2 linked regions of the Arabidopsis thaliana genome follow. The protein of the gene in region 2 interacts with the protein of the main gene of each other region in a pairwise test. Each region holds a gene or a part of one and is shown on either strand. Other genes may lie near its edges.

Evidence for each region. Proteins that work in one complex are often made in the same cells at the same time.
Region 1: the proteins of RMA1 (region 2) and RBL15 interact in a two-hybrid assay, tested with the Arabidopsis thaliana proteins (one large-scale study listed by BioGRID).

The regions. Positions count from the first base shown.
Region 1 is NC_003074.8:21,621,681-21,630,478, reverse strand, and holds RBL15 (RHOMBOID-like protein 15), read left to right. Parts: upstream 1-3,777; 5' UTR 3,778-3,836; coding exon 3,837-3,878; exon of another isoform or gene 3,879-4,006; coding exon 4,007-4,057; exon of another isoform or gene 4,058-4,130; coding exon of another isoform or gene 4,131-4,154; intron 4,155-4,665; coding exon 4,666-4,831; intron 4,832-5,009; coding exon 5,010-5,313; intron 5,314-5,556; coding exon 5,557-5,589; intron 5,590-5,679; coding exon 5,680-5,771; intron 5,772-5,859; coding exon 5,860-5,933; intron 5,934-6,090; coding exon 6,091-6,185; intron 6,186-6,263; coding exon 6,264-6,333; intron 6,334-6,415; coding exon 6,416-6,585; intron 6,586-6,665; coding exon 6,666-6,708; intron 6,709-6,798; coding exon 6,799-6,858; intron 6,859-6,935; coding exon 6,936-7,010; intron 7,011-7,099; coding exon 7,100-7,105; 3' UTR 7,106-7,277; downstream 7,278-8,798. Other genes in the region: AT3G58480 (calmodulin-binding family protein), read right to left, coding at 1-62, 146-234, 321-386, 485-599, 684-1,056, 1,135-1,138; AT3G58470 (nucleic acid binding / methyltransferase), read left to right, coding at 1,972-2,325, 2,451-2,609, 3,093-3,174, 3,258-3,409; AT3G58450 (Adenine nucleotide alpha hydrolases-like superfamily protein), read right to left, coding at 7,422-7,539, 7,631-7,749, 7,966-8,075, 8,180-8,447. UniProt on the Arabidopsis thaliana protein: Probable rhomboid-type serine protease that catalyzes intramembrane proteolysis. May function in senescence.
Region 2 is NC_003075.7:1,555,243-1,562,853, reverse strand, and holds RMA1 (RING membrane-anchor 1), read left to right. Parts: upstream 1-3,425; 5' UTR 3,426-3,601; exon of another isoform or gene 3,602-4,185; 5' UTR 4,186-4,199; coding exon 4,200-4,949; 3' UTR 4,950-5,393; exon of another isoform or gene 5,394-5,486; 3' UTR 5,487-5,534; downstream 5,535-7,611. Other genes in the region: ATHM2 (Thioredoxin superfamily protein), read left to right, coding at 1-269; AT4G03505 (uncharacterized protein), read left to right, coding at 5,535-5,966; AT4G03500 (Ankyrin repeat family protein), read right to left, coding at 6,283-6,921, 7,094-7,611. UniProt on the Arabidopsis thaliana protein: E3 ubiquitin-protein ligase that promotes the ubiquitination and proteasomal degradation of aquaporin PIP2-1. Forms a ubiquitin ligase complex in cooperation with the E2 enzymes UCB8/UCB10.

The DNA of each region.
Region 1 (8,798 bases), on a different chromosome or scaffold from region 2:
GGTAAAGTTTTGATCTTGGACATCTTTCGTGGTTCAATTCTTTTCCTTGTCCTATGTCAAGCCTACATGTCCAAAGTTGGACGTTAGCTCGTAAATTTGTACGCTTGATACTATCATACTTTTGATTGTGTAATAGCAATCTTACCAGTAGAAAAAGGGTTGTTTACTGTCACAGTGGAGCCAAGCATGATAATAGAATTGCAGATTGTGGCCATATCGATGTCGAGGATCAATCTGTTAAGCTAGAAAATTAAGATCACATGGCTTTACACAAAACTTATAGCCACAGAGAAAGACAAATTGTAAAAGAATATTCTTACTGCCTCAAGCCAGTGCTGCAAAGCCAACTTCCTAGCTTTCTCGTCCTTTGATAAGCCTTTACCAACCTTAGGGATAAAAATGGTCAAATCATTATATAAAGACTGGAGCAATGGGAACGAAAACGGGTGCATCAAACCAACATAGTTGATAGGCTTGATGTTACCTTAGCAGCTCTTGTTCTTGCTCTAGACCAGCGTGAAACTGCAGTCTCTTGCTTCTCAATTTCAAAAAACGATATAGAACTTCTTTTAAGTTCAGCAAAGTCAAGTACCTTCCACCTGCAAATTCCATTTAGTTACTACTAAACAGATAATTTTATCCTCTCTATATATACCAATGCCAATAATCATAACACCACGAACCATCTTTGCTCAACGACTACAGCACAATCAGCTAGCCTTCTTCTGGTTCGAAAACTTCTATAAACTTTCTGTAACTTTAATGCAGCTTGATATGTTCCATCACCTAATAACAAGGCTAAAAATTCTTTTGCATGTTCGTTTTCGCAAACAGGTTTCCATATCCGCATTTTATATCTATCATCTTCTTTCATAAAAGTTAAAGGTTTAATAGAGAAATTGTTCTCCACATCTCCTGGAGAAATTCTTGATCGTTGTGTCCCTTTACCGCTAAGGGATCTGTTGTATAGCGTCTTTCTAGCTTCAGGTGATTCAGTTATGGTTGAATCCGAGTCAATGTCATTAAAACTGATTGATCGAAGAATGGTCTTTGTCTCTGCACAATCAATACAAATATGCCTCAGATCAAAATGCCTTCAAATAAACGTTCATAGAAGTTGTCACAAATACTAACCCATTTTCACTTGAAACCAGATTCAAGCAGTTCCTTATTATGTCCTGAAAATGTCAAATATCCAAATTCCATCATTGAGACATTACATCGAATCACCAAAAACATAGAAAGGGTGAAGAAGAAGAAGCAGAACCTGGAAGTCAAACAAAACCCATGAGACGAAATGAAACAGAGAAGAGATTCTTTTAATGGAAGAAAACAACAGAGCCAAAAAGGAAATGAGGAGGCTTTGAATGGGTCTAGGATTAGATGGGAACGTGAGAGAGAACGATAATGGCGGCCATTTCTGATTTAAGAGATTCTCATGAAATCTCAATCTCTCAATGATGCAAATCTGTTCCATTGGCTGGGAGAAAAATAGAGTCCTCTGTTCCACGATCGCTCTGTTATTTTTGTTGGCTCCTCCTCAGTTTATCCTAATTTTGGCGTCAATGTTTCGCTTTTAAAACTAGGTCCCTATAAAAATTCAAACTTCCTATGTTAACCCAGAAAATAAAACATTATCAATTTGACCCAAACAAAAATCATAAGAAAATCTTCAATTTTTAATAATTTCCCTAAAGTACCATTAAAAAAAATCACAGAAGCTAATTATGGGATTTCTACTGTTTTCTAATTCATAACAATATATACTGTAAATAGTTTACCAATCAAAGACACTAAAAACAATTCATGTCTTCAATAGAAAACATTCAAAAGTTGGGGACTTTTTATGAAAATTCTGTATAAACGCAAGCAGAACCAAAGCCCTAGCCCTCTCTAATTCGCTGTGTCCGTTAAGTCCTCTCTTTTCCGAAGGATCTGACTTTATCCCGGAATTCTGACGCCGAAGCTTAAATGGAAAAAGAAGATGAGCTCCAGAAGTTAAACGGTCAAGTTTCAGCTCCACGAGACGGAGATGTAGAAGATGACGATCCACTAGTGTTGAGTTCTCAAGCTTTGGCGGCGCTTCGGGAATTTCTAGCAGACCAGAACAAGACTGTTGCGAGCACGCCACCGGCGTCTTCCGTCGCCGGAGGAGAAGAATCCGATAAAGTGGAGCTGGTTACGGAGGATTGGAGACTCAGCCAGTTCTGGTACGAACCTGAAACTGCAGAGACTGTAGCAGATGAAGTGGTCACTCTCTCTCAAAGAATTCCAGGCTGCAGAGTCGCTTGCATTGCTTGCCCTACTCTCTACGTTTATCTCAAGGTACTATTAATCAGTTTTGTTCAGTACCCTTAATTTGTATCGAATCCGTTTTGCTAAAAATCGATACTTTTGTTGTCGTTGATGCTAAATTTCTGTGCGACGGGTTTTGATTTGTGCTGAGTCAGAAAAGAGATCCTAGTCTTCAGGTGCAATTGCTGGAGTACGATATGAGATTCGAGAGATATGGAAAAGAGTTCACTTTCTATGATTACAACGAACCAGAAGATCTGCCGCTTCAGCTGAAACATTGCTTCCATATAATCGTTGCAGATCCTCCCTACTTGGTAAAGTTTCTTCAAGTTCTTAACTTTTCCGATGCTGTTCTTTCATGGGAATTTTGGAAATCTTTTAGCTGCCCCTTGATAGATAGGTTTAGAGACTGATGTGTAATCTGCTCTGAACTTCTGACATTCAAGAAGCTTCTGCTAGATAGGCATTGCTTATAAATTAATCTTCTTTTAAAAGATTATAGAAAGTCCAAAAGCAGACAAGATGAAAGAAAAAAAGTGTAAGCTTTACAATGGAGTATCAGTTGGTTATGGTCATGGCTTAGTGTCACTTCTTAAAGATGGATACTTTGTGGCTCTCTGCTGCGTTTTGATTATCATTTGAAATATTTCCCGGGTAGGAGTATTTGTGACTTGTGAGGATATCATTAATCTGTGATGTTTTTGTGTGCTATATTGCTTGCTATCTTCAAAGCATAAATGTCTTTGAGTACCTTCTAGTTAGCGTGTTAATGATCTTGATTCGTTTATGCTTGGCAGAGTAGGGAATGCCTGGAAAGAGTTAGTCAAACAATTTTGTTCCTCGCAAGCCCAGTAGATTCATTGTTGCTTCTTCTCACAGGTACAATGGGTACTTTTGTTTTCTCAAGTCAAATTTATATGATCTTATGATTTATTAACTAGGAGATATCTCACGTCTTGCAGGAGAGGTGCAAAGAGAACATGCAGCTGAGCTATTGGGTGTTCGCCCTTGTGTGTTTAAGCCTCATCACTCTAGCAAACTCGGAAACGAGTTCCGACTGTTTATAAGTTATGATCCAGGTACCAGATTAGGAGGCTTGGAAGAAGACAGCTAGTTGTGACTTGCTTGTAAGTTGCTTCTCTAAAGTCTTTTGACTGTTCTTGAGTAAACCAGTGATTGTTCTTTTACCCTTCTGATCACAAAAAGCAATGTGCTTAAATCCATCTCACGCGTTCACGTCATCCCCTTTTGCTGTTCATGTAGTTGCTGTTAATTTCTTATGACGATGCGCCTTAACCAATCTCAGGTGTCTGGCATTTCAAGCCCTTATCCTCTAGCAGCGGAGGAACATTTGTGGCAGGGAACACTCATCGGCTCATGTGTGTTGGATATTTTTCATCAATGTTCTCTTGGTGACCTCACTTTGTTCAATCGTTCTCTGTATCTTGTTGCAACCGCAGATCTCAAGTCTGATATACTTTTACATTATTATCAAAATCTCAACATATTTACCAAAATGATTTATTGCATCATGAATCAACATGACATACGGAATTAGCTCATCACAAAAAATTATTCAATCCGTTGCAACTTTATAATTTGCGAGGAAGAGATGAAATATTGATGTTTGCTCTCAGCGAATAAAAAGTTTTTGGTCCGACCCGGTTCTACAAACTTTACCAGAATCAAAGTGCTAAACCGGGCGAAGAAGTTAAGATCTCGAGAAGAGTCTTTTACGGTGGGAGAGAAACGAGAGTTGTTCGTCTTCTTCCATGGTCATTGAAATTCAAACACACGCAAGCATCAGAGAAGAGGACTGATTCGCGACTTCGATTATGAGGCCGAACATTGTTACCGAGGTGAGATCTGTTCAATTTTCTGCTCTGATTGCTTATATTCCTTGATCTTAGTCAGAAATTGTTGAGGTTTTAGCTTGTTTAATTACCGAGAAACTCCTAGTGAGAACGAGCTATGGCTGATAGCAGAAATCAGTACGACCGTCTCTTAATTCGGTAGAGTTAACTAATTAGCAGTTCAATTCGGCATAACTTCAGTTTCATGGCCAATCGTTCGTTGTAGAAAGTAGAAACATTCTCTTCATAAAATAGGTTATAGCAGCCTCTGTTTGTGTTGTTTCATTAGTTCTTCAAGTTTTAGGTATAATAATACAATTTCACCATTCTATTATACAACTGTGACTCTGGATCATACTTTTGTTTGAAGATTTCTGAAATTATTCATAAGGTTGAATATTATTAGAAGGTTTCTATGTCCAACCAAGTAGATAATCGGCACAATGTTTAGATATAAGCCTATAAACTGGTAAAGGTCTTGTTTCTGGTTAGTTATGTATTCTTTATTTTCTCATAGGCTGGGGTTCAAACTCGAGTTGGACAGTGGTGGAATGCCATACCTTTCCTCACGTCATCGGTGGTGGTAGTTTGTGGGGTCATTTACCTGATATGCCTCTTAACTGGATATGACACTTTTTATGAAGTATGCTTCTTACCCTCGGCAATCATATCGAGGTTCCAAGGTATGTTCTCATATTTATTGAGGCTTGCATGTCATGTAGAAGATATTCCTATTGGCACTAAAACTTACATTTCCAAAGTTATTTCGTCTTGCAAACTGGTAATTTTAAATTCAGATGCCTGAGCTGTCCTGATTTTTTTTGTTTCCTCTTGTTCACTCGTTTCTCGTTATCTGTGCAGTTTATAGGTTTTATACAGCCATTATTTTCCATGGATCACTGCTTCATGTTCTGTTCAACATGATGGCATTGGTTCCTATGGGCTCTGAGCTGGAGAGAATCATGGGATCTGTCCGTTTGCTTTACCTAACAGTTTTGCTGGCAACGACCAATGCCGTATTGCATCTTCTTATAGCATCCTTGGCGGGATATAATCCCTTCTACCAATATGATCATCTCATGAATGAATGCGCCATTGGATTTTCTGGAATCTTGTTTTCTATGATTGTCATAGAGACAAGTCTCAGTGGAGTTACCTCTAGAAGGTAAGAATTTTCAAGGGCTACTTAAATGATTTAGACTCTGGAAGATCAAAGTGCAAGTAAATATGAGCTTCTTGTTAGAATTCAGATACATTCTCTCCAAACATGTTAATGCTACACATGTCTGTACACATATTAATAAGATATGCGTTTAATGTCCTCTGAATGTGGGCTATTTTTTGCCAACTCTTTGTATTCATGAAGCATCTCATATTTCTTCATTTGCTACTTTATTTCTCTGTGCAGTGTGTTTGGTCTCTTCAACGTTCCCGCTAAACTGTAAGCTCCATTGTCTTGCTTGTTGGCATCTTAATGCCCACCTGCATTTCTTGTTGCTCATATGATGTAAAAGTTTGTATCCATGTGTAGGTATCCGTGGATCTTACTAATAGTATTCCAGCTTCTCATGACAAATGTTTCACTGCTTGGGCATCTATGCGGCATCCTGTCTGGATTTTCATGTATGATTATTGACCTTTTTCATTGTCATCTTCTTTCTAAACCTGCATTTTCATGGGGAGCTAATTTGTTAGTCGCTTTGGATTTCAGATTCTTATGGCCTCTTCAATTTCTTGATGCCTGGCTCTTCATTTTTTACCACCATTGAGTCAGCCTCCTGGATGGTAAGTACTAAGTACTTAAGAAGATCTGGCTTCTTGATGTTTCCTTTTCTTTGTTAATTGAGAGGCCATCGAGGATTTAAAACTCATGCAGATCTGGCTTCTTGATGTTGCTCTCTGAGTTAATCGTAACTCATCCAGTTTCTATGTCCTCTTCCAGTCTAGCTTCATTAGGCGACCCAAGTTCATTATGTGTACTGGCGGGAATCCTTCCAGCTATATTCCCACTTATTCTGCACAAAACACAACATCCAGGTGTGGTTTCCTAAGAACATATGAAAAACTGGACTGTTTGCCCAGAGAATATCCTAACGACATTTTTTCTTTGACCAGTGGTTTCTCTACAGGAAATGCTTGGAGATCCTTGTCTTCATGGTTGCCACAGAGGGAAGCATCTAATCAGGTACGTTCATGCTAATCTTGTTAGTTTCTTTTCTTTACCATGGTGGATGCATTCACATCTAACCATATTACTTCACATGCAGTCTTCTGAGGACAGTAGATTTCCGGGGAGAGGTAGAACTCTTAGCACTGCCCGAGATCCTACTGCTCCAGCTGGAGAAACAGACCCAAACCTCCATGCTAGACTGCTGGAAGATAGCAGCTCTCCAGACCGCCTTTCTGATGCAACTGTCAACACCGTGGCAGATTCAAGGTATTTGATTTCTTCAGCTTATGATTTATCAGCTTATTACGCCATTCTTCAACCTCACCCTCATGTCTCACCGTGTGTAGACAAGCGCCAATAGCTAATGCAGCAGTCCTGCCCCAATCCCAGGTTACTTTTCTTCTCTAAGATATTCGGCTCAGACCCAGACCCTTGTACAGCTTCTAGAAGCTTTTCTCTTATTGAGCTGTTAAAACACAGGGTCGTGTTGCTGCTTCCGAAGAACAAATCCAGAAACTCGTAGCCATGGGCTTTGACAGGGTACGTTTCTTGCTTCATACCAACGTTAACTAAAACAATAGTAAATAGATGGCTTAAAGTCTCTGGATTTTCTTCAGACACAAGTGGAAGTGGCGCTTGCTGCTGCCGACGATGATCTCACCGTAGCAGTGGAGATCCTAATGAGCCAACAGGTATAAACTTTTCCGAACTAGAGTTCTATTAACTCATTTTTAGAGTTTAGGCACTACTAACAACGAAACCACTGTGATCAAACTTGCAGGCTTAACACCAACAACTCGCAAAGTACTGTTTTGGCTTGTATTGTAACGTTTGTTTCTCATTCTGTCTTTTACTTGCATTTAGAAACTGTATAGCGTCTGTTTTCTTTAAGGAGGTTCTTTAACCAGACGATCAAACCGATTTTCCGGTTTAGAATCTAATACAAACGAAAGATCAGTTGAAATTTTCTTTTTTTGCAAAATCTCTCTACGTAGAACTTTACTTTGCAAAAGTAAACTTGTTTATTGGCGGCACACTTTTTTTTCTTCTCTACGGAGTACAAACGGAATGAAACAGAAGCTATTATAACATGGTTTCCTTCCTCACTTGCTCTTGTGTTCCTTCGTGTTACTAGTTGAGGTTTCTCTAGGCGGTCGCACAATGAGAATTGGACATTTTGCATGTTGGGCACAGTAGTCACTTACACTCCCTAAAAATGCCCTGTATATCTCAAACACCAGGAATGAATGAATAGTCACAACCAGAAATCTCAATTTGTTGTTAGACCTTAGACCAAAAATGAAACTTGTACCTTTTGATCATGCCGAGTCCACGGCTACCAACAACAAGAAGATCAACATGTGTTTGCTCGACGGCTTGGCATATCATCTCCTTAGGATCTCCTTCCAATATCATAGTCTCTGTCTTCACCTACAACATAAAACCATAAACTCAAGAGACAGAGAAGATCACTGATAAACCTAAACTCTTATGAAACCTTGATAAACCTAAACTGAAAGTAAACTTCATAGACCCTAAACTTATTGTATTTTTGAAATTTTTTCCAAACTTGTAGTATGTTGAAAGTTGAAACTAGACATGTCTTGATGGTAATTTTTAGGAAATTATTTCACACATATAGCGCACCATTTTGCCTCGGCATATCTCCAATGCCCGTGTGAATAAGTTTGTCGTACTCTCTTCTCGTGCTTTCCTCATTGGTTCGGGCACTGAATCTGTCGCATACACCGCCGAAGCTAAGAATTTCCAAACTCACTCAATATTGTATACAGTCACATCCCATATAATATATATATACGCATAGAGAATAAAAGAAAGAGAGAAGCGTTTTTTTCTTCACCAGTTCCACCAGAAGGATAGATATATTGAAGGTACGTTGGGTGAACATGAAGCAACGTAAGTAAACCGCCTTCTTGACCGGTTTCCGGTTCGGCACTAATAACAACTCTGAGATGATCCACAGCCCATTCCAACGCATCGAAGCTGTTCTTGCTCTCATCAATCGCAACCATCACTTTCAACTTCTTCTTGTTCTTATTTGCAGCCGTCTCCGCCGTCGTTGTTGTGGCTGCCGTGTCCTCTCCAATCGCATCAACGTAAGTCTCCATTTTTTACTCCGTACGTTTTCTCTATCGTATGTTTTTTTTGTTCGGCTCCAGCCACTTTTTGATATGTATAATAATTTAGATCGTACCATACGTTACGTAATGCTAGTGTGTGATTGAGTAGGTGGAAGATGAAGAGTGTTAACAGATGTTTAAGATGGATACTGGATTGACACGTCACCTGTGTCATAGACACGTGTCTTTCTTTCAACATAGACAACTGTTTATTTTGAATATCCAGAAAAGGCTTTTGGTTTAGAATCGAGTTTGGTTCAATTTTACGGTTTCGTTCTGCTCAGAAAAAGATAAACCCAAAACGAACCGATTTAAATTCGGTTTGAATTAGCTTAAATC
Region 2 (7,611 bases):
CTGGGCCTGTAGTTGTCGACTTTTGGGCACCATGGTGTGGACCTTGCAAGATGATTGATCCGCTTGTAAACGATCTAGCACAGCATTACACTGGGAAGATCAAGTTCTACAAATTAAACACTGATGAATCTCCTAATACTCCCGGCCAGTACGGAGTTAGAAGCATCCCAACGATCATGATCTTTGTCGGTGGCGAGAAGAAGGATACAATCATAGGTGCAGTGCCCAAAACCACACTCACATCTAGCCTCGACAAGTTCTTGCCATGAAATATCACTTGTGGAGTCTGTAAGATCTCGTATCTCTCTGTCTCTCGTTCTTGTTCTCATTATCTCTGTAACTCATTATCACTGAACATCTAGACCTGGATAAATAATATGATGTCATGTCTTATGTCATTTTTACTGGTTTGAAGATGTTTTGAGATGCGGAACTAAAGGTATCAAAGAACAATCTTGGACTAGACTAATGGAACCACATTAAAATGATTCCACCAATCTTTTTTTGGTCATGAGAGAGATCTTAAGATTGTTTGGTTCTGCAAGTTTTTTGATGAACACACGCTAAGGTTTGTTACTTATTCTAAAACTCCTCGTATTAAAAGATATTATGCGACACTCTAATGAATGAGCACATGTATGCAAAAGGGGCTAAAGGTTCATACATGTCCTAATCTAAAGAAAGAATATACGTATTCAGCTGAAAAAGGTCTTTATCGACCACGAGCAAAAGAGAATAAATACGTTCGAAATATCTCCTTATTTTTGCATAAGCAAAGAAATTCATCCACCATAGTTTATGTGTACCCAATTTGTGGATAAGGATATGTCAATTAGGACAAAATGAATAATAGCCGAAAGAATTGAGTTATTTTTGGACTGATCCCACAGTTCCCGACAAGCTTTTGAGGTTTTAGAGTTGTTGATCCGGTCTATGACTAAAGTTCGACCAAAACCAAGTTATTTAGTTTGGACAATATAAATCAGAAATATCAAGAAGATAAATTATATGATTAGTTCATAAAGTTTTAGTTTTAGATTGCCAAGAAAATATTCTAATATATTAGGTCTGAACGAAAGTGTTAAATCTGATGAAACCTCTCTATTGGTAATGTCTTTTTTTTTTTTTTTTGGTTGCCGTCCTTGGTTTGAGAATTATATATTTAGGCTGAAGATAAGGTCAAAAGAAAGATGCAATCCGGTTTTATAATAATAGATCAGTTGGACTTTTATAAATGCATTTTCGTGACTTTTGTTTGTATCAAACAACTTTCATTATAATATTATGATTTGGACTTTGTAAATGGTCTTCTCGTGTCCTTTTGATTGTATCAACTTTCGCGACCTAAGAAGTCACGACGACGTACATAAATGGAACATGAGCATAATGATCAAAATTAGAACAAGTGTGAAATATCGAAACAAAGGCAAGTCAATATCGGACAGCTTCGTACGTGAAACCTAACCCCCACTTGAGGTTCTTAATGTTTTAAAATAAACAAGCGGACAATGTTTTAATCATTTGACCTTCATGAGTGTCGGCCATATTCTCCTACCAAACATGCTGCAGCTTGATTAGATAAATGATAAAACAATAAAACGATAGTTATGTTTTATTCATGTTCTACGATCCTGATATAATTGCTATGATAGTCAATTTTGTTAGAATAAAGATGAAAATACTTGAAGCTTTATTATATTCTTAAATCTTAGTAATAATTAATTAATATGAATCTCTTAAAGTCTTTACTTAAAATATCATTGTTCCCCTATGAAACTTGAAAGTTACACGATAAATGCGCTAATTTCAATCTTTAAGAAACAAATAGCGTATAGTAATACATAATTACAAATATATTGATAGACATCCTAAAACAAAATTAGAAACATGAAGTTGATGATGATCTTCTGGTTATCTAGTTTGACTAGAATGGAATGTTTGTAACACAGAATGTGGCAACGTATTATTATTTTTTGTCAACATGTATATTACTGATGAATATTGCATGTTCATAAGGAGAAACCAAAGACACAAATTATTTTTCGAAAATGTGAAAATGGAAATGATCCACGCCCACGCGTCAGGACTCAGGAGCATTAGTCCGACCAAACCCATAAACTAAAAATTGATTTTATCTTTTATTTTTTTGATCTCAAGATTCGGCTTCTAATTAATAATCGTAAATTACAAGATCAATAAAATATGCTAAAAAAAAGAAGTCCCATAAAGCAAAAGAATGCGTGTCTCGTGAGGTTCTTTATGAGATTGATCGTTGTTACTTGTGAAGAAGCTTCGGCAAAAGCGTGAAGAGAGCCATCTTCTTCGATCTCTCATTAGTCCTTTTGTTCTCTATTCACTCCACCCAATCACCGATTGTTTCTTACTTTATTAGTTTAGTTTTACTAGTTTATTACGTTAACATAAATTTATTAGTTTAGATTTACTACTTTATAACGTTAGTTTAGCGTTAAGCCACAATGGACCTTGGCACGGCACTGACATTGACATATATGAGTTGGTTAGATAGAGCTGCGGCGATCGCATTTTGTTAATCTTCACAAAGTTTTGACTTGTTATTATGCTGCATTTATATTTTGGTTACAATTTTGTGTTCTTTCTAAAAATTATATGTGAAAACATGAATGTGGGTGAATACAATGCACCTAAAGAAAGTGGTATGACATTTGTGACACGACCGTTACACATAATAAAGGGTTTTCTTTATTGTTCAACTAAGTTAGTTAAGAAACAATAATAGTTTTTGTGATACAATTAATCTCTATTTATAGAGTTTACCATTACGTATCGTATACTACTCACTCACTCTAAATCCATTAGTAACGTATCTTATCTTAGTTAAATAAGTAAATTTGTTTTTGACAATCTTAAGTATGTAAAAAAAGGATTAATGTAAAAAAAAGTATAGCAAAGAGAGATAATAGCTTTTGTTTAGGATAATGTATAATTAAATAAACATTTTTGTTTGTCAAATATAGGTAAATATTTGGGGTCAAATATGCACCAAAGGATTCGAAATTTAGGATATTTATGGATAGTGTGAATTTGGAAATATGTTTTCCAACATTGTTTGATTGCATTTGAATGTTGTCTAACGTTCTACTGCTAAATCCATGACGGATCTCATATTGGATACTCGATTTTTTTTTTTCTATTATCAAATTAATCGTATATGAGTATAATATTTAATTAAATATTTAATTGGCCTATAAACCTCAGGCGTATCATTTTTTTTTTGTTTTGAACTTTGAAGTACAAGTTAAAAGAGATAAGCTCTCTAAAATAAGTAAATACAAAACTCTGACGAATCTTTCACATCGCCACGTCATGAAGATATCATTGCGTTCTCAACTTCGAGGCTTAATAATAATATCTTATTTTTTTCCGGATAGTATTTCTCTGATAATCAAATGTGTATAAATGAAATCTCTTTCTTCTTTAGAATTACTGTTTCTCTCCGCTACAAATACCAGATTTTTCTCTCTCTCGTCGAAAGCAAAACAGTCTCCTTTCTCTATCTTCTGCTCATATCAGCCATTGACACAGTTGCTTTGGGTTTCCCTCAAACGGCGCCGATTGTCTGGTTCGTCTCCCTAAATCTCTCTTCATAGCTCCTATATACGTGCCTTTGCGTATGTATAGGTGTTTTCTCATCTCTGTGACTATCTATATTCGCCGGCAAAATTTCTCGGTCTGTTGATTTTGATTTTTTTCTCTGTACCATTTAGATTTGAATTGGTGTTGAATTTTCCTTGAGGTGATGAGTTTGTTGTCTCTCTGTTTCTGCTAAAGTCTTTCTCTAATCATTCTCTTTCTTGGGTTTCGATAAATTTCTCGAATTTGTAAGCTAAACTTAATCCGACGATGATCAATGGAAAATTTGGATGATTGGTTATGAGTTTTCGGAAGATTCTAACTTTCAATCCCAAGTTTTTATGGGTCGTTTTTAATTTCATCTGTTTCCAAAATTTCAAATTTTAGGGTTCTTCGATAATATAGGGTTTTAGATTTTCTGGATTTTTTAAAATCTTTTGCATTTTTTCTGATTAACCTAATTCTCATCTGGATAAAAATAGGCTATCTTTGTGTGTTTCACTTGTAAATCTTATAATATATTGCATTCAATCTGGATCTAATGTTGGGGAAATAAACACATTTTTTTTTCAGGATTTTGACCACTGATGGCCTTAGATCAATCTTTTGAAGATGCTGCTTTACTTGGAGAACTCTATGGAGAAGGTGCATTTTGTTTCAAGAGCAAGAAACCTGAACCCATTACAGTCTCGGTTCCTTCTGATGATACTGATGATTCGAATTTTGACTGCAATATTTGCTTAGACTCGGTGCAAGAACCTGTTGTGACTCTCTGTGGTCACCTCTTTTGCTGGCCTTGTATTCACAAATGGCTTGATGTACAGAGCTTCTCAACAAGTGATGAATACCAAAGACATAGACAGTGTCCTGTTTGTAAATCTAAAGTTTCTCATTCTACTTTGGTTCCTTTGTATGGTAGAGGCCGTTGTACTACTCAGGAGGAAGGTAAAAACAGTGTGCCTAAAAGACCCGTAGGACCGGTTTATCGGCTTGAAATGCCGAATTCACCTTATGCAAGTACTGATCTGCGGTTATCACAACGGGTTCATTTCAATAGCCCACAGGAAGGTTACTACCCTGTCTCAGGGGTGATGAGCTCGAACAGTTTATCATACTCTGCTGTTTTGGATCCGGTGATGGTGATGGTTGGAGAAATGGTAGCTACGAGGTTGTTTGGAACACGAGTGATGGATAGATTTGCGTATCCGGACACTTACAATCTCGCAGGGACTAGCGGGCCGAGGATGAGAAGGCGGATAATGCAGGCAGATAAATCGCTGGGAAGAATCTTCTTCTTCTTTATGTGTTGTGTTGTTCTGTGTCTTCTCTTGTTTTAGGTTTTCATAGCTAGCTTGGTTCTGCTACTGTTCAGTTTCTTCAGGTGTAAGGAAAACATAGTCAAAGAAATGTACATTTGTGTTGGAAACAAATCAAAGTTGCTTAATGTTGAGGAATGAGGAGTTTATGTTGGGTTAAATCTTGTGTAGATTTGGTCTGGAGGATAGTGTTGTCTACATGAAAGGCCAAACTAATAGGCCTGATCTGCATGTGTTTGTATAGTTCAGCCCATGTGTAGAAAGATAAGAACTAGGCTTTCCAGACACATGGTACTGAATCACTGATAGTGATCCATTCCATAATCTTCCAGCACTATTGTATTATTGTTTTTCTATTTGTTTCATTAAAGATTGTATGTCGATAAAAGGGCCTGCATTAAGAGAGTCTCTCTTTAGTCAAGCTTCAGCAACTCTTCTTGTCTGTCTGATATCCTTCTCCACTCGGTCAGCCTCTCTTCCTTGTTTAGTCAAGTTTCAGTCAGAAGTCGAGCTGTCTTTTCTTTTTTGAACTATTTGTGTAATGATTTATAACTTTAGATGGAGCTTATCTAGATAGAATTGAGGCACAAAGGGCAACAAACGTGCATGTCTCGTGACCAACTGAGACGAAGATCCTTCCCTATGAATCTGATAAACAACAGCTTATGCTCACTCAATTCACAAGATTCCCTTCAAGCTGGAGGAGACTCTGTGGCAGAGTTCTTTATCAATCTCAGGTTTACCGATATTTTTGACCTTCCTGGTGAATATTTTCAAATGATTCCAGAGATGTTTAGCGCACTGAGTGATGGGGACAAAGAATGGCTTGGGAAATTGAGAAGCCATGGAACACTGCTGCCTGCTGGCATGTTTCAAGAACGATCGAGGAGATTATATTCTTCGTCTTGCTGCTACATGGGGTCTGGAACGAGTGAAGAGCATTGTCTCACTCTTTCCATGTCTTCTATTGGAGCCAAACTCAAAGGCTCAGCTTACAATCCATGTGGAGGCTCGTGCGGGTCAGTCAACTATTGTTGAGGCTCTTGCTAGGATAATAACATTTGAATCAGCTACACTATCTGATGGAGAAGAGAGGGGGAGGTTGAATCTATATATTCTCAAAGACATAGGTTGAAAACCATGAAGCTTACAAGACCATCGGTGCCATTAGACCATGGAGGAATACTCTTTTCCTTCAATAGCAAAGAAATATTAAATTAGCCGCTATGGTTTGGACTTTGAAGCGTCTGTAACCTTAAGTCCTGAACTATGGGTATTTATCGATTAACACGTTAACATCCAGAATAAAATATACATGGTTACAATTTTATTAGAAAAACAGAAAGCTATAACTTCATTCATCTGATGCAGTGTACACATCAACAATATTTTTGTTGTCACCAGCAGCCAAAAGCTTAAGGAAATAGGGATAGTAGAAAATGTGTCGAAGAAGGGGTTGGGCATGAGCATATGGAGACACATAAGGAACAAGGAGCAGCAACAAAACCAATAGGAAGATGATTCCAATACCCAAAACGAAATAACCAAGCAAGGGGAGATGGCTTACCGCAACATACGTGCCAGCCATAAATGCTATTGACATTGATGTAAGAGCAAGTCCGAGAAATGGAAGTGCTATGTTGAAGGCTTTGAGTATGATAGAAAGATCACCGAGTTGTGCCCAAATGAGAGCAACTATTGTTATGATAGAAGAGTACATTGCCAATGTGTCGCATACAAGAAAGACTTGAAAAGCCGTTCTCTTGGCCAAAACGGCCATTCCCAAGTGGGGAAAAGAGTCGTTGTACCCACCAGGTAATGTGAATCCTGCAGTGAAAGTCATAGTGGCTACTAGAGTTGCAACCAACATAAGAGTATTGACTCGATCTTTGTACTTTCCACCATCTGGCTTCTTGAATGATCTAAGATTTTCTGTAATTGGAGTAGAACTTTTTGGTGCACCAGCATTGATCAAAGCCATCCAAGTCAATCTCTGTATATACACACATAAGGATTATTATGGAAAAGTTTATACAAAGTAATATTAGGAGCAAAAACGACTTTTAGCATGTGCAACTAGAATTTTCAAATTGATTAATGGTTTTACTATAACCTTCAAATAAGTTGAGACAGCCCTCATAGGGAGAGACATCTTGTCACATTACCTGGTGAACTATGTAGCTCGAATCAATGTTCTCCTCAGCAACATCTAAAGCTGTGAAACCAATGTAGTTTCTTTTTTTCAGGTCAACTCTATGGTCCCAAGTAAACATACTCACAACTTTAGGGTGCCAGTTTATGGTGGCTAGATGCAACGGTGTGTTTCCATTCACATCTTGTTCATTAATCAACTTTTTCTTGTTCTTATCCTTACAACAGCTTAGGATAAACTTGATGACTTTGAGTTTCCCATACTTTGCCGCAAGGTGAAGAATATTTTGACCGTCTCTATCAAGCAACTCAATTGCCTCTGGACAATGCTTAAGAATTTCCTCAAGAATTTGAACATGACCATACTTGGCCGCCATATGAGTTGGAAATAAGCCATCATCATCGCTGACATAAACCTTGTCTCGATTTTTGTCGAAAAGATAGGAAAACCCTTGATAATATCCTATGGATGCTCCAAAAGAAAGAGAAGTCCTTCCTTCATCTCTCAAGTTGATAAGACTTGCATCTTTGC